Linked DNA regions of Saccharomyces cerevisiae S288C. The protein of the gene in region 3 interacts with the protein of the main gene of each other region in a biochemical or structural test. Each region holds a gene or a part of one and is shown on either strand. Other genes may lie near its edges.

Region 1 (4,583 bases), on a different chromosome or scaffold from region 3:
ACATATGCTATTGTTTTTGACAATGGGGAAAATGTCGTTCAGACACCCTGGGAGTCGCTTCCGTATGACGGTAACATCAGGATCAATAAGGAATTTGAATTGCCCATAGATTTTAAAGGAAAAGCCGAAACATCCTCCGCTTCTTCTGAAAGAGATAGCTACAAAAAATGTGTTATCACATTAAAATGTAAATATGAAAAACCTCGACATGAATTGGTCGAAATAGTAGACAAGGTGCCGGTGGGTAAGAGTTTTTTTGGAAAGACAAAGTATAAATTTGAAAAGAAGTATGTACAGAAAAAACCTAAACAAGATGAGTGGGATTATCTATTTGCACAAGACGGTTCATTTGCTCGTTGTGAAATTGAAATTAATGAAGAGTTTTTGAAAAACGTGGCATTTAATACCAGTCATATGCATTACAATATGATTAACAAGTGGAGTAGAATCGCAGACAAAATTCACGGCTCAAAAAGGCTGTACGAGTTACCACGCAAGGCGCCTCACAAAGTGGCTTCGTTGGATGTGGAAGCATGTTTCTTAGAAAGAACTTCTGCCTTTGAACAATTTCCCAAACAATTTTCATTGGTCAATAAGATTGTTTCCAAATACAAGTTGCAACAAAATATCTATAAAGAAGGGTATTTATTGCAGGATGGTGGTGATCTGAAAGGAAAGATAGAAAACAGGTTTTTCAAACTGCACGGCTCGCAACTTTCTGGTTATCATGAAATCTCTAGAAAGGCTAAGATCGATATTAATCTGTTGAAAGTCACGAAAGTCCTACGTAATGAAGACATCCAGGCGGATAATGGAGGGCAAAGGAATTTTACAGATTGGGTACTCTTTAATGAATGCTTCCAGCTAGTATTTGACGATGGTGAAAGAATTACTTTCAACGCGGAATGCTCTAATGAGGAAAAAAGTGATTGGTACAATAAGCTCCAGGAAGTTGTTGAGTTGAATGTTTTCCATCAACCCTGGGTGAAAAAGTATTGTGAAAAGTTAGCTGAGGAGGAAAAGACTCGAACAACCGGTCATAATTTGAAGCAAGATTTTAATTAGAAGGTGATTAATGGAATGAAAACAGCATATAATCTGATGACTGAGAGGTCTTTAGTTTAAAGATTAATTAAATACACATAATAAGAGTAAATACGTGAATCATGGACGATATATTTTTATTTCAATTTCACAGATCCCCATTCATTTCGAATTTTGATTTTGATTTTGATTAGGCTGTTGGTTCATGGGTGGCATCATACCTGGCATGGGGAATGGTGGAAAGCTACCAAACATAGGTAAGGGTGGGAAGCTTGGATGCATTGGTGGAGCGGGAGGGTTTGGTGTTCCAGACATACTATTACCCATATTACTGTTCAGATTAGACATATTTGCATTGTTTACGTTGTTGTTGTTATCAATTATATTACCGAGGTTTGAGTCTGTATCATTCGCGGAATTCAACTTCCCTTGCTGTTGGAGGGATAATAGGCCCATTAGGATCCTCCTAGGATTATAATCTTGTTGTAGTTTTTCCTGTCTATGTAAATACTCCATCCAGGTAAATTCGTTAAAACCGTAATTGAAATAATCACTTAAGTTGGCCCCCGGTTGCCTCCAGGGTTTCTCCTTTAATACTTCAGGATCTATTGTCGTTATGCCAACACTATCAAAGATTCCCTCTTTATCCAGGTCTATAGAACCAGTCATTGCTTTCGGTACATTTCCATCGCTCTCTGTAGCTTTTACGGTCGTTGCCGTTACACCTTGATTTGCTTCTCCTTCTGTTATTAGTCTTTCATCTGATGTCTTTGTGATGGTATTGGATACATCTGTAGCTACGCTAATTACGTCTTTGCTTGAAGATGTCGCTGCGGTAGAATAAGAATCGAGTAGTTTTGCATCTAACCTAGTAGGGTCAGGACCCAGACTTATGATAACCTCTAGGTCAGAATCACTATCGTCATCTGAGGAGTCAGAGTAGATATCTTCATCAGAACGATCATCTCTGGCAGTAGCTGGAGTTTCTTCCACGGGAGAGTCGAATTTTTGCCTTTTAACTATATCAGGATTACTGGACGCACCTGCGTCTGCTTCATCATCTCTTGATCGTTTAGATGAAGGTAGTGCTAATTCGGAGTCGGAACCATACAAGAACTTGTCGTCTTCGTCTTCACTGGAGCTCATTTAGAGAAATGCTAATAATTTTAGTGTAGGCAAAAGGAATAAGAATGCAAAGCACGATGGTGCGGTTTAACAAAGTGAATTTGGTGATGTACTCTCTCAAGATTTATGTCGCATTATTCGCTACGAAGGTTTTTCAAGATTAAAACGAATCTCCTTTCCCATCGCGACATACGATAAGGCTAATAACGCTACGGTATTATGTCATGGAGCTTGAGACATTGAATACATATATATACCTATATATAATATATATATATGCAAATACACAAATTCTTAGCAATTTGAGTGAGACAATGGAAATAAAGAAATGAGTGTGAATGGATATATTTTGAGGGAAGGGGGAAGATTGTAGTACTTTTCGAGAATTAAGAATAGGTTTTACTAAACTTGTAGGATATTTCTTGAAACCTGACCTTGTCATAATAATCTTGATCATTAGAACTGCTGAAGGAGTAAGCCGCAGCATATCTTGACAGTTTGGAGTTCAACTTTTTTAGGAATTCTAACTCTTTTGAATTTAATTTTTGTAGTGATGGCGGTGGTGATTTTTCAACGTCGAAGGCAATTTCTAATGGGTAATAGTAGGAGGGCACCTGAGGTTCATCTATAAATGGATCTGCCTCATATACATTATCGGAGGCGTTGTTATTATTGCTGGTATTATTATAGTAATTACAATTAGTGCTTTTATGGTTGCTATAGTGACGATTATTAAAGGAATGTATGTTATCAGTATGTGGTGGAAACTGATCTTGATATTGGGAGTATGAATCCGTGTTTTTTGAATTTATTGATTCATGAATATTTGTGGGTTTTGAATAGGTATAATTAGTGGTATATGGGTAGAAGTCTTGTGTGTATGGGAATTCATTGAATTCAAAATTTTCTTGGAATATTTTGATATCTTTTTGTGCATTTGTATTAGTTTCATATTTTATTGTGTCACTAATATCGATATCATCTCCATTTCTGTTGCTCTTTTGAAAGTTATCATGGTTATTGAATGATGAGTGGAACGTAGATGCGGATTCATCATTAGAAAAAAGAGATGATAATGAAGAGGATCTGGTACTTTCAGAGCTCTTTTTTCCTCTTTCAGGACCAGTTGCCATTGTGCAGTCCTTCGTAGTTTTCGTTTCCTTGGAAATAGGCTGAGAATCAATATTTTCCAAATTCAGAAACTCTTCATTGAACAATATTTGAGGATTAATTAAATGAATTGGTTGTGTATGAACCAAGTTCTGCAGCTGAGATGAGGCAATTTTGTCAGACTTTTCAAAATGCCAACTTCTAGGGGAAATTGTAGATCCAAAAGAAAAACAAGGACGGTCTTCTTGATCGGTGGTTGTGTCATAATAAATGTTAGGTTGTTGTTGCTGTTCAAAAGGAAAGAGGAAGAAACCATCTTCTAAGGCAGCGTGAAGTTTTCCATGCATATCCGCTTGCATTTTGTTTGTGGGGAGAGGAATAGAAAAGCTTTTCTTTTATTATTTTTTTCCTTTTTCACCAGTAATGGGTGCCAGTAGGAATTTGTTTCTCTGTAGGTGACTAATGACAGTAGTATATTATGCTTTTAATCTTTAACAATACTACTGGTCGATTTATAATATGATAATGTAAAATAAATCGTAATAGGATAGTCGATGTTTGTATCTACTTCACGAAACAGTTATGGTATACGGTAGTTTAAATATCTGAAGAAGCAAAAATACCGAACTACAAGGGAAGCATTTTGAGAAAAATATTAAGATCAAAAGATAATTAATTTACCTTAAATACATAAAAGAGGAAAAGTAATATACAAGGTAAACAACAGGCAAGGAACAAGATCAAAAACGTCCGACCCCAATTTAGTAGTAAATTACAGTAAGAGAAAAAGGTATTGGGGCTGATACATATTAATTGTGCGTTGTTGTTGTTGTTTAATTTTAGATTGGCTATTATGAGTACACACAAAACGTTGTAAACGCAATCACCCATGGATAAGCGCTCCCTTTAAAATGCACTACGAAATCATTGATCTACTAACTTTAAACCGGACTTAAACCATCAAAGGGTGCTCTAGATCTCATCGATGTATTCTGATGCAGCCAAAATTGCGCAATCAATCACGTTTCCCGATATAGAAAACTAATTGGCTGTGTTACGTGGCTGGGGGTTCTGTAATTCCTTTCTTCCCCGGTGAATCATCAAGATTGGGCTAAGCGCCTTTGATCCTTTCCCTCGAAGACGGAAATGGGGCCGCAGGATAAAAAATGGTGTGTCTGTAATTCCGATTTTTTGCTTATGTAATCATGTAACTTTCTTCTAGTCCCTTTGCAGACATGCATGACACTTCCTTACCCGAATAGTGAGTTAGATCTGTGTTAGGATGCAGGATGGGCAGTTCAAAG
Region 2 (4,793 bases), on a different chromosome or scaffold from region 3:
AAACTAGGTATTACACAATCAAATATTTTCACCGTCAGCTGTAACGACCTAATAAATCAGGAACACATAATCAATGTTCAGTTGCCTATTTTATTAGAGAGATCTAAGGGTTCAATAAAATTGGTGATAATAGATTCGATTTCTCATCATTTGAGGGTGGAGCTTCAGAACAAGTCCTTCAGAGAATCCCAAGAAAATAAAAACTATCTGGATAGGATGGCAGAGAAGCTCCAAATACTGGCCCACGATTATTCATTATCCGTTGTGGTGGCTAATCAAGTTGGGGATAAACCACTGGCTAACAGTCCAGTGGCACATAGGACATATGTAACTGATTATGATTATCAGCTAGGGTGGCTAGTTGGCTGGAAGAACTCAACCATTCTTTATCGGCAGATGAATTCGCTGCTTGGAGCAAGTTCCAATAACGATGAAATTCTATCAGACGATGAAGATTATATGCTAATCGAGAGAGTTATGAGCACTGTAAATGACCGGAATTATGATTTTTTTTCAAAAAAGAAACCACCCATAATTGAGAATAAAACCGTTGAGCGAAATTCATCAAGTCCTATCAGTCGACAAAGTAAGAAACGGAAATTTGACTATCGTGTCCCCAATCTCGGTTTGACTTGGTCCAATCACGTTTCAACACGAATATTACTTCAAAAATCTTTCAAGGCTTCAACAATAATTCAAAGAGGTGAAGCTCATCTTTATAAGGGAGGTGATTCGGCAAGCTTCTGGCAAGTTAAGAGGACAATGAAAGTGGTATATTCCACATTCGCTAAGCCTGGTCAAATTGCATATCAAATTACTAAGCGAGGAATAGAAACAGCCTGATTGAAGTTCCGTATTCGAAAGAAACTAAGAGCTTTGCAGTAATATATGATGAAGGCAGTCTTTTTATATAGTAGCGCACATTATTCAATCCTCGCTAAAGTGTTCAATTAGTAAATATAATATTGTCATAAAGGTACATAGTTGAAAAGGGTATTTTTTTAAAAATAGAAACTTACAATAGTAGACATAAAGGGACTGTTTTTAACGATTATAGGTGTAAGACAAGGAAAATTCACAAATTAAAGTTTAAAACTACTGTAGGGATTCTTCTTGATCTGATTTATCATCTATTACATTCTCATCATAAGTGAAATCGTATTCTCCTTCGTATTCATTTGAGCCATCATCTATTATAAGCTTTCCCTGAGGTTTTTTTGCCAAGGCATCTTCCACTTCGCCTGTACTCGAATTTAGACGCGAGCAAATCAAGTAAAGGTAAGCCACTCTTTTCCTTTTCCTGTTGTAAAGAAAACCTATAAGATTCCAAAGATAGCCAGGCTCATCTTCCAAAAAAGAGTTTGAAGGTGAATATTGAAAAAGGACGCAATCAGAAAGAGTCATGTGAGAATTAATTACCTCCCAGACCCATTCCTCTGGTTGTCTACCAAGAGAATATAAGGTGTTTTCAAATTTGGAAATAAAAGTTTTCAATGATGTTTTGACAAAATCCGTTGGCTCAACCGATGAAAAATCATGGTCAGGATAAGAAGCGTTGAGGATAGCAATCAGATAAGCAAATATTTTGCGGCTTGACGGTTCGTTTATGGGACCAAACGGACCCAAACTTAAATTGCTTGGCCTTTCGTTTATCGAAGATTTTCTTCTTTTGTTAACATTGTTGGTTGCTGTACCAGAACTGTAATTATTGTTCGATGATTTACCACTTTTGAAACTGCTAATACTGCTACTGCTCCTTCTTCTTATCCTCTCATCATTCTTAGAAGAAGAATCAAGAGACGATGAGCTCATAGAGCCAGAATCGTAATTCGAGACTAATTCTTTTAAATTTTGGTCATTTAGCTTGGCACTTTTGGGAAAAGTTGCTGGAGAAGAACCATTAGGTCCAGAATAGTTATTGTTATTACTGCTATTGCCATTACTGTTGTTAGTGTTATTATTGCTATTGTATTCACTAAAAGATATTCTTCTCTTTTGCTCCCAAAAAGAGTTGCTATCCCTCCTATTAGAATAAAATGGCGACGAGCAGGGTGATTGGTTTGTTTCGGGAGCAGCTAGCTGTTGCTGAAGGGTAGCATTGTAATTCTCATTTTCCTGTAAAATAGTATCCAAATGCTGATCAATAGTTTTATATAATTTTCTATCTGATGCAACCGCCTTTGTTGTGAAAATATCGCAACTGCCCACGATTTTACAGTCATTTGTCTCGAAATTGAGAGTTTGATTCACTCTCTCTATATCTAGCTCATCAATAAACTAAGGAAGAAAAGGAGGGTTCAGGTACAATGTTAGTAATTTCGAATAAAGAGCATGGCAGTTTTAGAGTGATAACATACTTTCATTGTCGTGATTCTTTAGGCAAAAAAATCCGTTTGGAGTAATGAGCGGTTAAACTTGTTCTTGGTGAAGTGTGCAGAGTTTCTAAACTTTAAGTAAATGACACTAAGCCTATATTTTTCGCATTGCTAAAGAAACACTGATACATAATGTGTCTACATTTTATATAGCTGATAGCACGTTCTTTTTAAGTTGAATTATCTTTTTTTTCTCTTGTTAAATAAGATGGACAACGCGCTTTCGCTGGCGAGATGAAGCGCCCCTGATTGACAAGCAACTCGTGGAGGCAAGTAATTAGCGACGCTTTACTTTGTCTGATAGCAGTAAATATGTGACTGCATTTAAGAAGTGAAATTATAAGAAATGTACGCTTTAAAAATGATATATGAAGTTACATAAAGAAATGGTAAAAAAATTTTTTTTTCCTCCATTACCGATAATAGTTATATTCCTTTTTTATTAACTTTATCTCCTAACATTTCGATATAATGAGGACCGAATACGGACCAATGAAGGTTGATTAATGCATATAAGTGGCGATAAACATTCTCGAATTCCTCCAGCTCTGTTGCTGCGAATAAACCTCTGGATGCAATCGCATTGCCAGTAGGTGTGGTGGTGGAGGTTTTAGAAGGAGACATCAAAGACGGGCTGATTTTAACGCTAGCAGTATCTGTAGTAGTACTCAAAGTGTTAGTGCTACCTACGTTGCCATTGTTTGTGTTGTAGAGGTACACAAAGTCTTGTTTAACGCGTCCATCAATTGTGCACTCGGACCTGTTGAAGATAGCGTCCTCTAGTGATTTGAATACTCTATTTTCTAGGACACCATAAACTTCACTGAGGGGTTGAGTTTGCTTAGATAACCAAGATTTAGCAAAGGTTATTTTTGAGTTGTCTAATGAAGGCAATTGAGGCCTTCTGGCTTGTTCACAACTACCATTGTTGTCGTACTCCCTGTGAAGATCGTCAATAACTTTGCAAAGATGAACAGCAATAGACATTGTGTTTTTAGTCCACCTACAATTGCCGTGTTCATCTGTTATAATGCTGATAATTTCATTCTTCAGCCTTTTAGTTGAGTATGTATGAATAACATATTCCTTTGTAGCTTTATCCATTGAAGGATCGTTGGCCACCAATTGTTGGAAAAGTAAACGGCAAACTAAAATACAAACAATTTGACGTATATCGGCACGCAAAAGGATCAATCTTGCATGATCAAAAGAAAGCGGAGTTGGGTACTCTCTCACCATCTTCCTACATGACAATAGGTTAATTATACTTCTAATGCAAATATTGTAGACATCAGGGATAGTGATAGAACTTGGATTTCTAACAAGGCCAGCGGTAACATTTTCGTTGAATTTTTTATCAAACCAAAGTAGGGAAGTATTTAAATTCACCCTTTTAGAGGCTATAAGAGTGTTGAAATACTGTTTCTCAAATTCTACAGCATTACTTAACAGAGCTGGCCTTAGTATTCTTATTTGATGATTGGCAATATCCAATTTCATTGTTTCCAAAATTTGAAAAACCAACCTTAAACCTTCTATTAACCTTGTTAAAGAAGAGTCTCTTTCAGCTTCTTTAAATTTGTTGCTCATTTTATCCACCCATGGGTCCCTCATGGGGGCACAATGATGTTTAAATAAATCAGCCAACCAGCCTGACAAGTTAGACATTATCAGAGAACCTTTCAATAGTTCTTGAATGTTCAATTCTGTGTCCAGTACATTATTTATCATCGGAGACTCTTTTTGTGGGACTATCGTTAACAATACATCCCTTAAAGTGTCAAAAAGTGGGACTAGTCTTGACCTGTTATATTGGAATATTTCAGGCCTCTTAGAGTAAACATAAATTTCATTTTGAACATCATTCCAATAGATATTCGCCAATTGTCTTTTTTTATTCCCTCTTTCGCCATCAAGATTTGGCCTGAATTGTAGTAGCGGGTCGAATATTATATCATGTCTTAGTTGTGGGTTTTTCAGAATTTCCTGTAAGTCAATCTCTTTTAAGCCCTGCAAATTTATAGGAGGAAATGGAACAGGCGTTGGAGTAGCCTTTATGTAGTTTATTCTATCTTCCAAAGTTAAGTCAAAGTTTGAGCTTGATAGGAAGCTTTGATTTGTCATTGAAGTGGCAGTGGAATTATTAATGTTGTCATTATTAGCGTTAGTGCTTGCGTTACCTGATATTTGTTGATTTAAAAAAATTGCGCGCTTTAATGAAAGAGGGTTTGAACTGAGAGGATTATTAGAATGCAAATATGGTTGATGATGGTTTCTAGAAAATTTTTTCTTTGATATGCCGGAAGGAGTTGGATGATTTAAAAGAATATTTTGATTACGATAGTATTGATTGTGGGATGATAATTTTCTTAAAGAAGAATGCAAAATAGTGGGTACGGAATGCGACCTCATTTTTTT
Region 3 (4,734 bases):
TGAAGAGCATGCCAGTTTTGAAGAGTTTGACTACGTACGACCGTGCCAAACTTGCCGATGCACTGGATACCAAGATCTACCAGCCGGGTGAAACAATCATTCGCGAGGGTGATCAAGGGGAGAACTTTTATTTAATTGAGTACGGAGCTGTGGACGTCTCTAAGAAGGGCCAAGGTGTCATAAATAAACTGAAAGACCATGATTATTTCGGTGAAGTGGCCTTGCTAAACGATTTGCCCAGACAGGCCACTGTGACTGCTACAAAGAGAACCAAAGTTGCCACATTGGGGAAAAGTGGTTTTCAACGTTTACTGGGTCCTGCAGTAGACGTATTAAAGCTCAATGATCCTACAAGACATTAAGTAAAAAGGGGAAGCGATCTTAAATCCACATGAATTTCCTTTCTCTTTTTCTTCTTCTTCTGTTCCCTTTTTCTTTCTTCTTCCTTCAACGTCTACGTAAATATAATGTATAACATCTCCACTTTCCTTTCCCTTATAGCGTTATGTTACCTGTTTAAACTCTAAATTCTTCATCTACTACTGCTGTTACTACATGTATATATGTTCATTTTTTTTTTTTTTTTTCACCACGGAAAACGTAAAAATGAGAGCATTTGTAACAAATAAAGGAGAACTGTTCAATCAAGTGACATACAAAAACTCTCTCCAACTCTACAATCACCACCGTAATGTCTGATGCTCAATTCGATGCTGCTTTAGATCTTCTTAGGAGGCTAAATCCTACCACGTTACAGGAGAATCTAAACAACTTGATCGAATTACAACCAAATTTGGCACAAGATTTACTATCTTCAGTAGACGTTCCCCTATCCACACAGAAAGATTCCGCCGATTCAAACCGGGAGTACTTATGCTGCGACTATAATCGTGATATTGATTCGTTCAGATCGCCTTGGTCGAACACTTATTACCCAGAACTATCCCCAAAGGATCTACAAGACAGCCCCTTTCCCTCAGCCCCTTTAAGAAAATTGGAGATCTTAGCCAATGACTCTTTCGACGTTTACAGAGATCTCTATTATGAAGGCGGTATCTCCAGCGTGTACCTCTGGGACCTCAATGAAGAAGATTTCAATGGGCACGATTTTGCAGGGGTAGTGCTTTTCAAAAAAAACCAATCAGATCACAGTAATTGGGACAGTATCCATGTTTTTGAAGTTACAACATCTCCTTCTTCTCCCGACAGTTTCAACTATAGAGTCACCACTACAATCATTCTGCACTTGGACAAAACAAAAACTGACCAGAATTCTCATATGATGTTATCCGGGAACCTGACAAGACAGACCGAAAAGGACATCGCTATTGATATGTCCCGTCCATTAGATGTTATTTTCACATCACATGTCGCTAATTTGGGTTCCTTAATTGAGGACATTGAGTCTCAGATGAGAAATCTATTGGAAACTGTTTATTTCGAAAAGACAAGAGATATCTTCCACCAAACAAAGAACGCAGCCATTGCTTCCTCTGCTGAGGAAGCGAATAAAGACGCACAGGCAGAGGTAATCAGAGGTTTACAGTCTTTATAGAAATATTTACATGTATCGCTGGTATATCATATAAATACATACAGCAGCACTAAGTGGTAGAAAAGCGCTATCAAAAATCACTCGGAACGAACACTGAAGAAAAAGCGAAAAATCAAAAATATGACCAACGCTTGGAAAATTTCAGTAGCAATTAGACGAACCTCGCAGTCCTGTAGTAAAACGGATTAAGGGACTTCATATACTGTTGATACTCGGTGTATTGCAATTACCTACTAGGAGTTTTCTGAATAGGGACTTAAGAAGTCAAATATACAGACAAAAATAGGGGGTTGTAGAAGGAATATTTGATTCGAACTATGAAATGCAGGGTATGGTCAGAGGCTCGTGTTTATACGAATATCAATAAACAAAGAACCGAGGAATATTGGGATTATGAAAATACTGTAATTGATTGGTCCACAAATACAAAGGACTATGAAATTGAAAATAAAGTTGGGCGAGGAAAATACTCCGAGGTTTTCCAAGGTGTCAAATTAGACTCTAAAGTTAAAATTGTTATTAAGATGTTGAAACCAGTTAAAAAGAAGAAGATCAAGAGAGAAATCAAAATCTTAACGGATTTGTCTAACGAAAAAGTGCCTCCAACGACTTTGCCATTTCAAAAAGATCAATATTACACAAATCAAAAGGAGGACGTTTTAAAATTCATCAGGCCCTATATCTTTGATCAGCCACACAATGGTCATGCAAACATAATTCATCTATTTGATATAATAAAGGATCCCATCTCAAAAACTCCGGCTTTGGTCTTCGAATACGTAGATAATGTGGACTTCCGTATTCTTTACCCTAAATTAACCGATCTCGAAATTAGGTTTTATATGTTTGAGTTATTAAAGGCCTTAGACTATTGTCATTCAATGGGAATAATGCATAGAGATGTTAAACCTCATAACGTAATGATTGATCATAAGAATAAAAAATTGCGATTGATAGATTGGGGGCTTGCTGAATTTTATCATGTTAATATGGAATACAATGTTCGTGTTGCGTCGAGGTTTTTTAAGGGTCCTGAACTACTAGTTGACTACAGAATGTATGATTATTCTTTAGACTTGTGGTCGTTTGGGACAATGTTGGCTTCTATGATCTTTAAAAGAGAGCCATTTTTCCATGGAACGAGTAACACAGACCAGCTTGTCAAGATCGTCAAAGTACTTGGTACAAGCGATTTTGAGAAATACCTGTTGAAGTATGAAATTACCTTACCGAGAGAATTTTACGATATGGACCAATACATCAGAAAGCCTTGGCATAGATTCATCAATGATGGTAATAAACATTTAAGCGGCAACGATGAAATTATTGACCTTATTGACAATCTTTTGAGATATGATCATCAAGAAAGATTAACTGCTAAGGAAGCGATGGGACACCCGTGGTTTGCCCCAATAAGGGAACAAATTGAAAAATAAGAAATAAATAATGAATGAAATAAAAAAAAAAAAATCACTGACAAACGATATAACGATTACTTTTTTTTACCATCTGTACAATTGTACTTAATTCTAATAGATTTAAAAAACTAAATACAGGTTTAAAGGGCTTCCTCCATACAACAGAGGCAAGGAGGACTAAGGGGTTGACACGAGCAAATTTCATACATGCAAAATAATAATGTCTTAAAGGTAATTTATACCATAAATGTAGTAACTAAACGAAATAATAACGGCAGAAAAGAAAGGATGCAGCTCGAGTATTTATACACGTATATTACATATATAGTTGTCCTTATCATTCTTGAATGAAACACCGTTGTGCTCACCAAAACTTTGTTATTTTATCTTTTCAGAATTGGGTAATGATTGGTTGTCTGGATCCTTACCACCTTCTACGGGCTTGAGATCTATATCGTCATCGTCAGTATCGCTTCCGAAACGTTGAGAGTATGGCTCGTGCTTGATGGCTATGATCTTACCAGTATCTTTATCCACTTCTGTAACGTCTGAATCGATCATTAAAAGTTCTTCAATGATCTTTAATGAATCCACAGTCATGCTTTCATTTTTGTTGCTACTATTAGTGCCATTAACATTATTATCTGAGTCTTTATTTAGTTTTTCATGTTCACGTAAATGAATTTTGGAGAATTTCTTGAATTTAGAGATTAGTTTTTCATAGTAATTTAACTTTTTCAGTAAAATTCTATTCTCGTCTTTAATTTCGTTAAATTCCTTTTGGAGCTGCAGCTGCGCAACCTTTTTCCTTTGTCTACATTTCGAAGCTGCAATTCGATTTCTTTCTAACAATCTTGCTCTCTTCCATGCCGTAGTACCAGGGATTGGATTTCCCTGTGTGTTCGCCGCTAAATTTAAATGAGATCCTTGAGATTTTGGAGTGAAGCTAGGATTAGAGTGAGATTCCCTAAGTGCAGATTTGCCCCTATTTTCACCTCCAGTAGTTGGCGCAAACGTCGTCATGCCTTCCAAATCACTTATACTCTCCGCTGGAGTATTCTTTGATGGCGCGTTTACAAAATTTCGCTGCTGACTTTTCGAGTAAATAACGCTCTGATCACCCAATGCGGAGTCCTTCGTGGGATTAATAACTTTTTTTGCATTGTATTGTGGAATACTACTAACCGGCACTGCTTGGTTGAAGACCGGCTTGTTTGATACATTCCTAGTTTGGCTCAGACCATTATAATTGTGAAAATTGGGCATCGGGGGCGGCTGTGTGTTGTGCAGGTTTTCCAAAGTTTCAATATCTTCGCCTAGCTGGCTTATTTGACCGTTAGAGATTGATATTCTTCTTCTTCTAATTGGCTCATCGCATCCAGGCAAAGAACTTTGGAAAATTGGTGGATTCGTCATAGGTAAATGTGCTACATCAACACCAAAAGGTTGAAAAAATGGCGACAATGTTTCCAGGATGGATGGATCGTTCAAGGCATGTGGGTTGTTATTCATATTCATGTTCATGAAATACATCTGCTTGTTCACAGAAGCCGTATTGGCGATGTTGGACGCATTAGTCGGGGCTGTAGTAGAATCATTCGGAGCGGACTTACGGGTAGACGACAGTTGGCTCAGATTTGTATGAGTGGCCAGATTCTGATGCATATCCTGTACGACACCAGAATTCATCAGAATATCACCGTAGAGTTGGGATTCCTCTTCAGTTTTCATAGAGGGTGACTGTTGTCGCTGATCCTGCTG
Region 4 (3,885 bases), on a different chromosome or scaffold from region 3:
TGTAGTTCCTAGGCGGCTCGTTGACAAGACCCTTCTGCCCAATGACTTCTATATAAAGTATGGTTTTCTTTTTAAATACAGTAATTCCATGAAAAAAAGAGGGCCAAAAAGATCAAGCAATAAACCAACCGATATATAAAACACAGAACTGCAGATGGGTAATATTATAACGGATACGATAATTATAACCTCGGATAAGTGCGACATTGTTGATAATGATAATGTTGAAAGAATCCAGGTTTGGCTATCCAAGAATATCTTAAGGAAGTTTCAAATCAATGAAAATGAACCACTACAGTTGATTATTTTGAAAAGGTTTAAAAGAATACTGTTGATCTGCCCCAGTCATGATATATCTCAGCATGTTATGGATGCGTCTCGTGCTTTAGAAATGGAAAATTTTAACTTCAGCTACTCCTTGCAAGACGGACAAAGGAATTTAACTAAACAATACTTGAAGGTACCAGAGAGTGAAAAAATGTTCCTGATATCGCCCCCAGCATCACCACCTCCCGAATTCGATTTCAGCAAATGTGAGGATGCGCCACAAAGGCATATACAAAGTCATATACAACAGGACCAGCAGCAGCGGTTGGAAGCTAGCCAACTATTGCCTAATAATCCAGACAAAAATAACAATGGTACTTTCACGTTATTGAAATCAAAGGTGGGCGCAATTACCATTGATAGATGTCCCACGAACGATGGAAATGGACAGATGCAATTAGCGGACCACGTTAAAACCGCTTTCCCACCAAAATCTATATTCGATACTGATGACGATGATTAAGATGGCGAGGCGATTTGTTGGCTTAAGAGACTTAAATGCTTACGGGTGGTTGCTTTAAAATATAAAATATATATGACCTAAGTAAATATGGTTTTTTCTCAGGACCGGATTATTCATCGTCACTATCTACCAAGGCGCCTCTGCCTCTTTTAACTTGGCCTATCCTCTCCTCGTCCGAGTCTACCTCCTCTTCATCAGAATCTATTTCGCCATCATTTTGCGTTTTAGCATCTTGCTCTGAATCACTTTCGTAATCACTATCAGAACCTTCGTCACCATCATCTGTGTCACTTCCACGGCCAGAATTGACTTCTTCGACGGCGTCAAACCAATCACTATATACATCAACAGGCTGTGATAATGAATTTATGCGCGTTTGGAACGACTGCCCACAAATCTTGCACGATAAAGTTCCTATACTATTTTTTTTGTCCAGAGTGCATGAAACTGATTTTTCATGATTACAAAATAAACAATTGAATTTCGTATCTAATTTTTGGACCAGTCTCTTGGTAGGCTTTCTTGTTGACTTCTTTCTTTTACCCATGGCTCGTTAATTGTTTTCAGTGTTTTTTATGACATTCTTCTTCATAATTCTCCCCATCTTTATTACTATTCCTTTTCCAATTATTTGTAGATTATTGCTTTACCAAAGTTTAATCATTTTAAACGTTTTTGTTTCTTCCGTTTTCAGAATTTTTACAATTTGTCACCGAAATAGCAGTTTTTGTTTAATTTTAACGCTATGGGGTAAAAATTTTGGGCCCAATTTCAACTGAAAGAAGAGATATTTTAAATATGATAAGATAATCTTATAACTACGAATTTATTATTTTGTACGTGTCATAATAAATAAGGAAGTGCCTGAAGAGCGTTAAGTAACTTTGGAATCTTCGTTATGAAAACATTGGCTATTTGTTTCAGAAAAAAGCCGTTTAAGTACTTAAAAGAATAGTTATGTTTATATAGGTATGGTGACGAGGCTCTACATAGGACTAATAATGGTGATTTCCCGTCCAGTTTGGTTTACCCTCGTACCATCAAAAGCCTACAAATTCACAGGAAAATCGAAAAAAGATCCTTTCAAAGGTATTTTTCGTCGTGGTTTATTTCCAATGTTGTCATCTTTTTGTCTAACATCTCTCCCACCGATTTTGTCTCACTAACGCGATGATTTTGAATAGGAATGTAGTTTGAACTGTGAAATCATGACAGAATAAGCATGTTACATATAAATATTGGTTACCGTATTTCTTACGCTAGCATACTTCAAGTGTCTTTTGTACTTCTTAAGTTCTTTTGTTTTTGGATAATGATTTAATGCGACACATTGAAAAGGATAATGAATTCTTGCTGGGAACCTCGAACCAAATATTGTGACCTGGAAATGTTGTGTGCAAGACACCGTGAAATCACGCAATAAGACATATCTATACCGTGACAACTCCAAAAAATCCTAAAAACGGCAATTACGTGCAGAAGAATAACGGAAGTTCAGATAGTGGAGAGAAGAATTTATTCTTGTCCCTAAAATGCCCACCAGAGCAGCACTTCTAGTAAGCACATGCATGCTCCACCGCAAATCATCATATTGACGGTATCACACTATAAAAGAATAAAACATGTTGCAAGGCATAATTACTACCGAATTGCAAAAAATTGAACACCAACTTAGCGTGGTTCTATCAGAGAACGACATATCAATTCCTCACAATGAAAAACTAACTGACTAGAATACTTCCACTTTGGTGCCGCATTTGATGAAACAGCAAATAATACCTACACTTAAGTTGAATGAAGATTTCGTTTTCTTTGAGATAGCTCGAGGACATTCACGAAAGAAAAAATTTTAAAGAACAGTTTATAAGCTCTTTTTTAGAATCCTATTCTGTTTACTTCACTGTTCACTTACTTTCGGTCCCACATCTACAAAACATCTACAACAAGAACGTGGGCGATACAGCAAAAAATCACTTGAAATAACAGAATCAAGTTTCTTATCCGATTTCCTACTTTTGAGCTCCGGCTTATGTTGAAGATGTTACTTTTCTTTGTCTCTAAGTGATCTTTATTTTTCTGGCTCCAGTGAAATTTGGTAATAGCATAGTCACTTCAACTAAAGTCTGATAGTAATACTTGCAAATATTGCAAAACTTGGAAGAATGTTAATGAATCATTTCTTGCACCATTCTTTCAATCATCTCAATCTCCTGCTGTGATGTTTAAGTATAACATTGAAGACTATGCCCTAATTTCCAATGTTATTTAGTTTTAAGCATATCTTTGTTTCTAACAGGAAACTCAGGCCCACATCCGCAAAAAAATATGTGCCAAAAAACTTTCAACACTTCAAAGATACTTACCACTGCAGGAAAATAATCTACGTGTAACGGTTTGAAAATAAATTTGACTTCATAATTGGACATAAGTACTCCATCGCCATCCCTTTTTAAAGAAGTTTCCACAAGAATGAATGGCTAATCGCAACTAAATCTTTTCCTTGCAAACGTAACACAGTATCGACATTTTCTTACTCAATCCAACGAAGGAATAACCTATCTAAAAAATAAACGCCGTAGTTTTCAGCCCACAAGACGTCATTAAAAGATTTGTTAATTATAAAAATAGAAATATTTCTACCAGCATGATTATTCGTTACTTGAAAGTCCCCAATAAATTTCACTGTTTCCGTTAACTGTTGTAGTTATTAAACGCAGCAAACAGATTATTTTGAACAACACCGGAGAAACACGCGCAGACCCATTCGAGTTAAAAATAGTAACTCGCGATCAATCAATGCAGGAAGCACCGTAGGAATTAGTAAGAACTCGTATTTTGATTGAAAATGCCATGAAAGCAATTGACTTGCTGCAGTAAAAAGCGCTGCCACAAACTTTGTAATTTTCGACAATGACGTTCTTTTCAGATGGTTACTGTCTTTTTTTGGAAGAAACAAAAGAAGGTACTTTTATGATGTTATACTAGGCAAAAAGCCTATTTAATGTAAGTCCTAATTGTCGTTTGAGACTGGATGAAAAGGGACAAAATGGAAGGATAACTAAAGGTGACTTACCGCCAGATTAATTCGGCCTGGA

Evidence for each region.
Region 1: of the proteins of CKA1 (region 3) and FIP1, one has a biochemical effect on the other in vitro, tested with the Saccharomyces cerevisiae proteins (4 studies listed by BioGRID, with this or other methods).
Region 2: of the proteins of CKA1 (region 3) and MAF1, one has a biochemical effect on the other in vitro, tested with the Saccharomyces cerevisiae proteins (2 studies listed by BioGRID).
Region 4: of the proteins of CKA1 (region 3) and ELF1, one has a biochemical effect on the other in vitro, tested with the Saccharomyces cerevisiae proteins (4 studies listed by BioGRID, with this or other methods).

Annotation. Positions count from the first base shown.
Region 1 is NC_001142.9:602,014-606,596, forward strand, and holds FIP1 (cleavage polyadenylation factor subunit FIP1), read right to left. Parts: upstream 2,191-4,583; coding exon 1,207-2,190; downstream 1-1,206. Other genes in the region: BUD4 (Bud4p), read left to right, coding at 1-1,065; transcription factor IME1, read right to left, coding at 2,556-3,638. UniProt on the Saccharomyces cerevisiae protein: Polymerase-regulating component of the cleavage and polyadenylation factor (CPF) complex, which plays a key role in polyadenylation-dependent pre-mRNA 3'-end formation and cooperates with cleavage factors including the CFIA complex and NAB4/CFIB.
Region 2 is NC_001136.10:455,741-460,533, forward strand, and holds MAF1 (RNA polymerase III-inhibiting protein MAF1), read right to left. Parts: upstream 2,364-4,793; coding exon 2,358-2,363; intron 2,278-2,357; coding exon 1,096-2,277; downstream 1-1,095. Other genes in the region: putative DNA-dependent ATPase RAD57, read left to right, coding at 1-843; SOK1 (Sok1p), read right to left, coding at 2,802-4,793. UniProt on the Saccharomyces cerevisiae protein: Mediator of diverse signals that repress RNA polymerase III transcription. Inhibits the de novo assembly of TFIIIB onto DNA.
Region 3 is NC_001141.2:286,047-290,780, reverse strand, and holds CKA1 (casein kinase 2 catalytic subunit CKA1), read left to right. Parts: upstream 1-1,872; coding exon 1,873-2,991; downstream 2,992-4,734. Other genes in the region: cAMP-dependent protein kinase regulatory subunit BCY1, read left to right, coding at 1-362; CAP2 (F-actin-capping protein subunit beta), read left to right, coding at 692-1,555; CST6 (Cst6p), read right to left, coding at 3,352-4,734.
Region 4 is NC_001143.9:150,721-154,605, reverse strand, and holds ELF1 (Elf1p), read right to left. Parts: upstream 1,338-3,885; coding exon 900-1,337; downstream 1-899. Other genes in the region: RCN1 (Rcn1p), read left to right, coding at 155-790. UniProt on the Saccharomyces cerevisiae protein: Transcription elongation factor implicated in the maintenance of proper chromatin structure in actively transcribed regions.